Sus scrofa: one gene and its partner. The protein of the gene in region 2 interacts with the protein of the main gene of each other region in a pairwise test. Links are inferred from orthologs where the notes say so. Each region holds a gene or a part of one and is shown on either strand. Other genes may lie near its edges.

Region 1 (4,584 bases), on a different chromosome or scaffold from region 2:
GTGTAGGCTGGCAGCTACAGCTCTCATTTGACCCCTAGCCTGGGAACCTCCAAATGCCATGGGTTCGACCCTAAAAAAACAAACAAACCAAAAAAGTCATTTAAAACAGCATCAAAAAAATTCATCTAGGCACCTGGGAATAAATCTAATAAAAGTTTCTGAAGACTTGTACACTGATAATTGCACAAATTATCCAATATACTTCCTAAATTTCTGAGAGAAATTTTAAAAGTTCCAAGTAATTGGAAGTATATACAGGAAGTATATACATGCTCATTCCTCAAAAGACTCAGTATTTACAGTATTTACAGCAAAGTAAAATACAGCTATCTATAACAACATGGGTGGATTTCACTGGAATGTTGGTCAGAAGAAGACAGAAGAGTACACACGGAATTTTTTCATTTATGTGAAGGTCAAGAACGATCGAAACTAATTCATGGTGGTGGAGGTGAGAATAAGTAGTTACCTTTTGGAAGTATTGACTGGGAGGTGGCATAAAGAAGCCCTCTGAAATGTTGATAAAGTCCGTCCTTTCTGTCTCTTTCTTTCTTTCTTTCTTTCTTTCTTTCTTTCTTTCTTTCTTTCTTTCTTTCTTTCTTTCTTTCTTCCTTTCCTCCCTTCCTTCCTTCCTTCCTTCCTTCCTTCCTTCCTTCCTTCCTTCCTTCCTTTCTTTCCTCTTCCTTCCTTCCTTTCTCTCTCACTCTTTCTTAGGGCTGCACCTGCGGCATATAGAAATTCCCCAGCTAGAAGTCGAATTGGAGCTGCAGCGCTGGTCCACACCACAGCCTAAGCCACTGCAACGCTCCAGTTGCGGTCGCCTCTGCGACCTACACCACAGCTGATGGTAATGCCGAATTCCTAACCCACTAAGAAAGGCTTGGGATTGAACCCGCATCCTCATAGATACTGTGGGGTTCGTTGCCTCCGAGCCACAAGGGGAACTCCCAAAGTTCTCTCTCTAAATCTTAGCTGTGGTTTCAAGAGCGGATATGTAAAAATTCATACAGGCATGAGTATTTTGTGCACCTCACTGTAGTTTATGATGGCTCAATTTTTTACAATTAAATTAAAAAAAAAAGCAATGGGAAAGCATTGAAAGGGTTAACGGTGGTGAATGACACGACCCGATTTATGTTTTAAAAACAGGTTTTGTGTGACTAACAAGAAAAGGGCAGGAGCAGAAGCCAGAAGACTAGTTATGAGGTCACTGCGTGGCCCAGGCAAGGAGTGACGTTTGCTTAGACAGGAACCACGACCGTGGAAATGAAGAGGACGCGTTGGAGAAAGGTGTGAAAGCAGGCTTCGCAGGACATAGGCAATTAGACCAAAAGCCACGAACGTCTTTTTGGGTGACTACCATAGGAAATGGAAGAACAGCTGAGGAATGCCGAGACAGAAAATGAGCTCTAAAACTTGGGGTGGGAGTAGAGACTTTGGGCTAAGGAATTCCGTAAACGGGAGGCGAGGTTTGGCAGGAACAGTAGAGGCTGGTCTGGGAAAGGGGCCCGAGGGACTGCACATGAGGATGGGCAGGGGTATGCGGGATTAAGATGCTCAAAGAGGCGGGAGCTTGGCCTCGGGACTGGGGAGGTGATTCTTGGGAAGCGAGAAGTCGCTAAGGAACGCAGCTGGAGATAGGGTCAGACCCGTAGGAACTAACTGTCGGCACCCGGACAGACCCGCAGGACCAGGATTCTAGTGTGGCCCCGCCCACGAGGCTTGGAAACGCTGTCCTAGGAATGCAGAAGTTGCGGCCCCGCCTCACCTCTGGGGCGGAACCAATTGTGACGGCTGCGAGGTTTCTTGCCGGCGCTACAAAGGTGCGGCCCGAGAGCGGCGGAGTGCGCCGGCGTGACGCGGCCGCGCGGAGTGGGCGGGGCCAAGACGGCGGCGGCTTGCCAGATCGAGAGCTAGAGCGAGAGGCTGTTGTGAGACGACGGCTCCCCAAACCGACCGCCATGAGCACCAAGCAGGTCACCTGCAGGTCAGTGCGCGGCGCCGCAGGGTCCCAGAGCGCCGGGTCGCTTCGGGCCCTTCCAAGGGTGCGCCCCAGTCCTGCGCCAGGGAAGTAGGCTGGAGCCGGTTCGTGGAAAGTGGCTCCCGGTTCATCATCCGACTTCCCACGGAGTCGGTGCGGCCGGAGCCGGGGACCCGGCGGGGCGTGGCCGAGTCTCGTGGCGGAGACTCGGTCGAGGCCGGCGCGGGGGGCTGTCTACGGGTTCCAAGCGTGGTCCCTGCCCTGGAAGGAAGGGGTGCTGGCGGGGCCGTGCAGGGTGCTGGGCCCTGGAGGCGACCCCAGGACTGTGGGTGTAGCTGGAAGAGGTGACTTGGAGGAAAGAGGTTCCAGGAGGTCGTTTGCAAATGGAGATGCCACGCAGGGTTGGGCTGTTAATCGTCGGTTAGGGCCTCAAAGAACTGGAGCCCCGTAAGCGGCCTTCGTTTCCTAAGAGTTTGAAGAACTTCGGTGCAACCTAAACTTTATAGAGAGTTAGCAAGTTAAGAATTGTGTGGAAAGTAGCATTTACTGAAAGTTCGTTCTTTGTCCTGCATATTTCCAGGTCCCTTGCATTCGTTGTCACTAGCCCTCACCGTAACGTTTCTGGGCAGATGTTATTCCTATTTTACAGCGTGGGAATAAATGATGCCCTCATCTTACTGAGGGATCCATTTCCGTGGAGAAATACAACAGCAATGGGTGGATGGTTGTAAAAAATTCAAAATTGTATGACTTCACTGCTCCTGTTAAATAGAAATAGCTTGGTTTTGGTTAACACCTTCCTTCCTTGGTAAGCATGTGGTTTGACGGTATTGGGATCCTAGTCTTAATGAATTTGGGAAATAGTTTTTATTTTAATTGGTTTCAGTTAAATCTGTATGGGAAACATTGATTAGAGGAAAAAAAACAGCTCACAGTTGTAGTTTGGTTATGTAATGAACAGTGTATGTAAGTAGCATCTATGTTGTTACTTCTTTTCATTAGTATGAATAGTTGAGAAGTGACTGTGTAAAAAGTTTCAGCTAAACTGTTTAAACTGTTCAGCCAGTTTATCCAGCCCTCGATAACTTAACTTATATTAAGCAGTTGTCAGAAATTTACACTTAGTGTCTATACAAAAGACTTTTACCAGGTTATCTGTTCTAGAAGGTCTCTTGTGAAGACCTATTCGTGTGTTTATTTTTATTTGTATGACAAAGCAGTATTCTTAGTCATTGTGGACTGTACTTATGGCTGATGCTCCTAAGATATGTCAACAAAACTGCCTGTTTATATGATGCTTTATAACTGAATCTCAGCTCTTCGTGGTACCCAATTTTACAGGTGAGGAAACCTTAATGCTCAGACTTAGAGCTTGTCTCTAATTTACATCTAACTACAGGAACAAAAACTTAAGTCAAGATCATCTTGGGTTTTTTTTTGTTTTTTGTTTTTCCTTCTACACTGACCTGAAAACTTTAATTCTGTGTTTCCCAAACAGGGATGCCCTGCAGAAAGTTAGTGCTTAGAATCTAGAATGGGTTGGCATGTTGGGAAGGGATTAGTTCTGTTGAAGTACTAACTGATGTTCATTGTAGGGCTTGCAATGTGCTAGGTGCTCTTTGAGGTTCTTTACCAGCTGTAATTCGTGGCACAATCCAGCACTATGCACCAATGCATAGATTGATTGTGAAACAAAGCCTCAGCATTGAAGTGACTTGCCAGGGTTATCCAGCTTCCAGGTGGCTGCAGTATGGCTTCAGAGTTCATGCTCCTGTAGATTCTATGGCCCATCCAAATCCATAGGAAAGTCAAAAGAGATCACTTCAGTTCCTGTCGTGGCTCAGTGGTAATGAGTCTGACTAGTATCCACGAGGATATGGGTTTGATCCCTGGCTTCGCTTGGTGGGTTAAGGATCTGGCATTGCTGTGAGCTGTGGTGTAGGCTGGCAGCTATAGCTTCAATTTGACCCCTAGACTGGGAACTTCCATAGGTCGCAAGTGTGGCCCTAAAAAGACGAAAAAAGAAAAAAAAAAAAAAAAAGGTCGCTTATAAAGGGATGTGAAGGAGTCTGACCTCATAAGGACTACCTTGCCAAATAAAAACCAGAACATGTATTTATTTATTTATTTATATTTTTTTCTTTTTAGGGCTGCACCCATGGCATATGGAGGTTCCCAGGCTAGGGGTTGAATCGGAGCTATAGCTGCCAGCCTACACCACAGCCACAGCAACTGGAGATCCAAGCCGTGTCTGAGACCTACACCACAGCTCACGGCAACGCCAGATCCTTAACCCACTGAGCAAGGCAAGGGATCAAACCTGCAATCTCATGGTTTCTAGTCAGGTTCGTTTCTGCTGTGCCACCGTGGGAACTCCAAAAACCAGAACGTGTATTTAAATGGGAAAAACAGCGATATTACCAAGAGTACCAAGTTTACATTAATGTGCTTATGATGGCAAATGCTTTTCTCACTTCATCATCTTATTCACTCAAGTCTTATATCCAGATATTAGTAACTTACAGGAAATGTTCAAGGCATGATTTACTGGGGAGACTACACCTAAACAAGGTAATCGGCTGTTTTTGGTTTGCTTTCCTGAC
Region 2 (3,482 bases):
AATGCAAGAAACTAAATATGAACAGTTACTATTTCTATGTGATGTGACTATGAACTTTTCTGTTTTTCATACTTTTCTCTTTGTCAAATTTTTGAAATGAACATGTGAGTTACATTTTGCAAAAAAAAAAACTATACACCTCACACATATGAGTCACGATTTCCCCACCCTATGAGATGAAATATATCTGTACATTGTGTAAAATATCTCATTCCCAACCCATACTACTTTGTTAAAAAGATAAAAGTACACTTTTCCATAAAAATGACTGTATCACAAGAATCTTTAATGTTTAAAGTTTACTCATGGTGGGGTTGTTTTTGTGTTTAGTAAACTGTGCCAAGTGTCCATACTGAGCCCCTTTAAGTCCACATCACCACACTCCAGACAGATGTTTCCTGTGCCCAGCAAGATCACAGAGAGAGAGGTCTTGACTTTTCTCTTGGTTAGACCAGCTTTACTGGTGAGTTCGTCCAAACTCTCTAGTACCTGTCTACCCCCATACACATCATCAGTCCCATGTAAAAGAATAAGATGGAAAATGTCTCAATGTATTTCATAAGTTTAGCACGTCTCTGGTACAAAAAATTCAAGAAAGGTAGCACAAAAGCGAAAGCACCAACTGAGCTTACTTATAAACAAACATGCATGAATCCTACACACTACCTAATTATTACTGAAATGAATACAACATTGCATTAAAAGGTATAAAAGCACTGTACTGAAAACGTAAAAGTTACACGTGAAATACTGCACTGTAAATCCTGAATACTCTAATGTCCCACCCCCACCCCTCCACCACCCTGGTGAGGGTCAGAAACCATCAATCTGCCTCCAGACCTTGCTAGTCCTCGGAGACACTGTTGCGGGGGCAGTGGGCAGTGGGGTTGGCCTCCCGCAGGGCTCTGGCCTCTTCCAGAGCTTCCCTGTAGCGGGAAGGCCAGGCCTGGGGGTCTTTCTTAAAGACCCTGGCCAGGAACTCCATGATTTGCATCTTGGTGATTTCACGGCTGGCACGGGAGCCCCAGAAGAACTCATACTCAGGGGGCTCGACGTGGGGGACGCGCTGGTACTTCAGGTAGTTCTGCTGTACGAACTCCTCAGTGATAAGCTTTCTCACATCTCCAAAGGTGGAGTGCTTCTTCCAGGGCCTCAGCCCCAGGATGCGCAGCACGTTCCACACAGCACTCTCACGGGCACCGCGACCCTTTACGTAGATGAGGCTCAGGATCATCAGCAGGAGGCCTGTCATAGGCATGCGGTTGCTCAGAGCAACCCTGTCCAGCTCCTCAGGCGCCAGAGCTTTGACCAGCGAGAACTCCATGGTGTGCAGGCTGGTCAGCCTCAGGTGCAGCCCGAACACTCGGGCGAGGATGAGGCTGGTGCGCCTCAGGATGCTTCTGCACCACTTCTTGTAACTGCCGATGACATCTTTCACCATGTCTGGGAACCAGATGATCATCCTTTTCTGGTCCTTGACCAGCACGTACCACATGAGCTCATGTGCCTTCTGCACCAGCTGGGCCGGGGCCGGCGGCGCTGGGCTGGGCTGGGCTGTGCTCCGGGCCTGGTGGGCGCGGCCTTCCTCCGCGGCCTGCTGTAGAGCCTTTGGGTCTCCCTCTTCGCTCAGGGCCTGGGGCGGCGGCGAGGCCAGAGGGGCGTCGGGTGGGCCTACAGGAGGGATCTCTGGCCCTGCGAGGGTCGCGGCCTGGGACGCAGGCGGAGAGGGCCCCCCGGCCACCCCAGGGCTGCTGTGCACCTCGGAGTGGGAGGCATCGGCTGCAAAGTTGGGGTCACACACGTCCTTACTTTGTTCGGACATGTTTGCTCCGTCTGGCAAGGGCTCGGCCGCTGCGTCCAGGAGCTCTTCGACTCTGCGCTCCCTCGGTGGACTCCTGGAGAGGAAGTGCGCGTTGCTGCGCGCGGCGCCTTCCGCAGCGGCCGGGCGGGGCGGGGCGGCGGCGGGACAGGCTAGTGCGCCTGCGCATCCGTGGTCTGTGGGGGCCCTGCCGGCTGGCGGTAGGGGCGGGGCGCCTGGAGGGCTGGGGTGTATTGAGGTCCCAAAGGGGTAGGGGGCCTAGTGGAATACTGGCCTCATGACCCACAGTCGTCCAGTTTGGGCTAAGGAGGCGGTCCTGGGGCCGGGGGGAGGAGCGACATGGGTGAGCACTGGACAAGGAGCAAGTTTAAGAGGAAAGATGGAAACTTAAGCTTCCAAGATGCTGAAGCTGAATTTCTTAGGAAATGTTCAATTGGGTATATGTAGAATCAAGTTAGATGTGAGTTTCAGAGAAAGGCCCAGGTTGGCACATAAGCTTGGGTTTTGGATAACAAGTGTGAGAATTTAAACTGACAGAACAATCAGGGTCACCCAAGAAAATGTGTCAACTCTGAAAAAGATGCGGGATATCAGAATCATGAAAGATAGCAATAAAAATTGATTGATTCACTGCGAGTTCCCATTGTGATACAGCGGAAAGGAATCTGACTAGTATCCATGAGGATGCAGGTTCAATCCTGCCCTTGCTCAGTAGGTTAAGGATCTGATGTTGACATGAACTATGGTGTAGGTTGCAGACAGGGCTTGGATCCAGTGTTGCTGTGGCTGTAGTGTCAGCTGGCAGCCGTAGCTCCAATTCTACCCGTAGCCTGCTATGGGGAAAAAAAAAAAAAAAAAAAAAAAAAAAAAAAGATTTCCTGACTGCCAAGTCCAGGGGGTTATGAAGGAAAAATGCAGAATGTAGTCAATACATGTACAACTGAAACTTTCTTGAAGACAATGTACTAATGATACTGTTAGGTGCTTGAATGGTCATTGATTTTGGTTTTTCTACTTCCCTTGGGTAATTTTGATGTAATTTTAATTTTTTGATTAGGATCTCATCACACAAAGATTGCTGTATTTATTAGCACAGACTAGTATGATGTCTTTCTACTTGTTTGTCCAGGAAGGACCCTAATTCCCCTTATGACTGATGTAGCCTTCACGGGTGTGTTCGTGTAGACCCCACCTCTGCGCTTTCACACAAACTGACTGGTTCCAGAAATTGACAGCCACACCCAAATCCCTCCTAAGACTTTTTTATTTGTCTAACTAACCAATTAGTTAATTAACACAAGTTCCCTAGATTGTATATGGCAGACAGTCTCAGGTGACCAACAATATGAGATGCAATGTACTGGTGGTTGTTTTTCACTTTTAGAACATGGATATGCAGTGGGCAAAAACAAAGCTGACACTCCCAGAGAAGGATGGGTGTAGGAACCTATGGATCCAAGGTTTCTCAGGCTGATCAGCATCCCTGGTCTGAGCCAATATGGTATTTCAGACCTTACTGAATTTCCTCAAGCCAACAGCGTCTTGTTTTTTTTTTTTTTTTTTTTTTCCCCTTTTTTGGCTGTCCCCTTGGCATAGGGAAGTTTCTGGGCCAGGAATCAAATCTGTCCAGGAGCTACAACCTATACCATGGCTTCAGCAACAC

The links.
Region 1: the proteins of NDN (region 2) and MKRN2 interact in a two-hybrid assay, tested with the Homo sapiens proteins (2 studies listed by BioGRID and IntAct). The link is inferred for Sus scrofa from reciprocal best matches to the Homo sapiens genes NDN and MKRN2.

What each region holds. Positions count from the first base shown.
Region 1 is NC_010455.5:68,544,773-68,549,356, forward strand, and holds the start of MKRN2 (probable E3 ubiquitin-protein ligase makorin-2), read left to right. Parts: upstream 1-1,709; 5' UTR 1,710-1,742; coding exon 1,743-1,987; intron 1,988-4,584. UniProt on the Homo sapiens protein: E3 ubiquitin ligase catalyzing the covalent attachment of ubiquitin moieties onto substrate proteins.
Region 2 is NC_010443.5:142,411,028-142,414,509, reverse strand, and holds NDN (necdin), read right to left. Parts: upstream 1,823-3,482; coding exon 845-1,822; downstream 1-844. UniProt on the Homo sapiens protein: Growth suppressor that facilitates the entry of the cell into cell cycle arrest.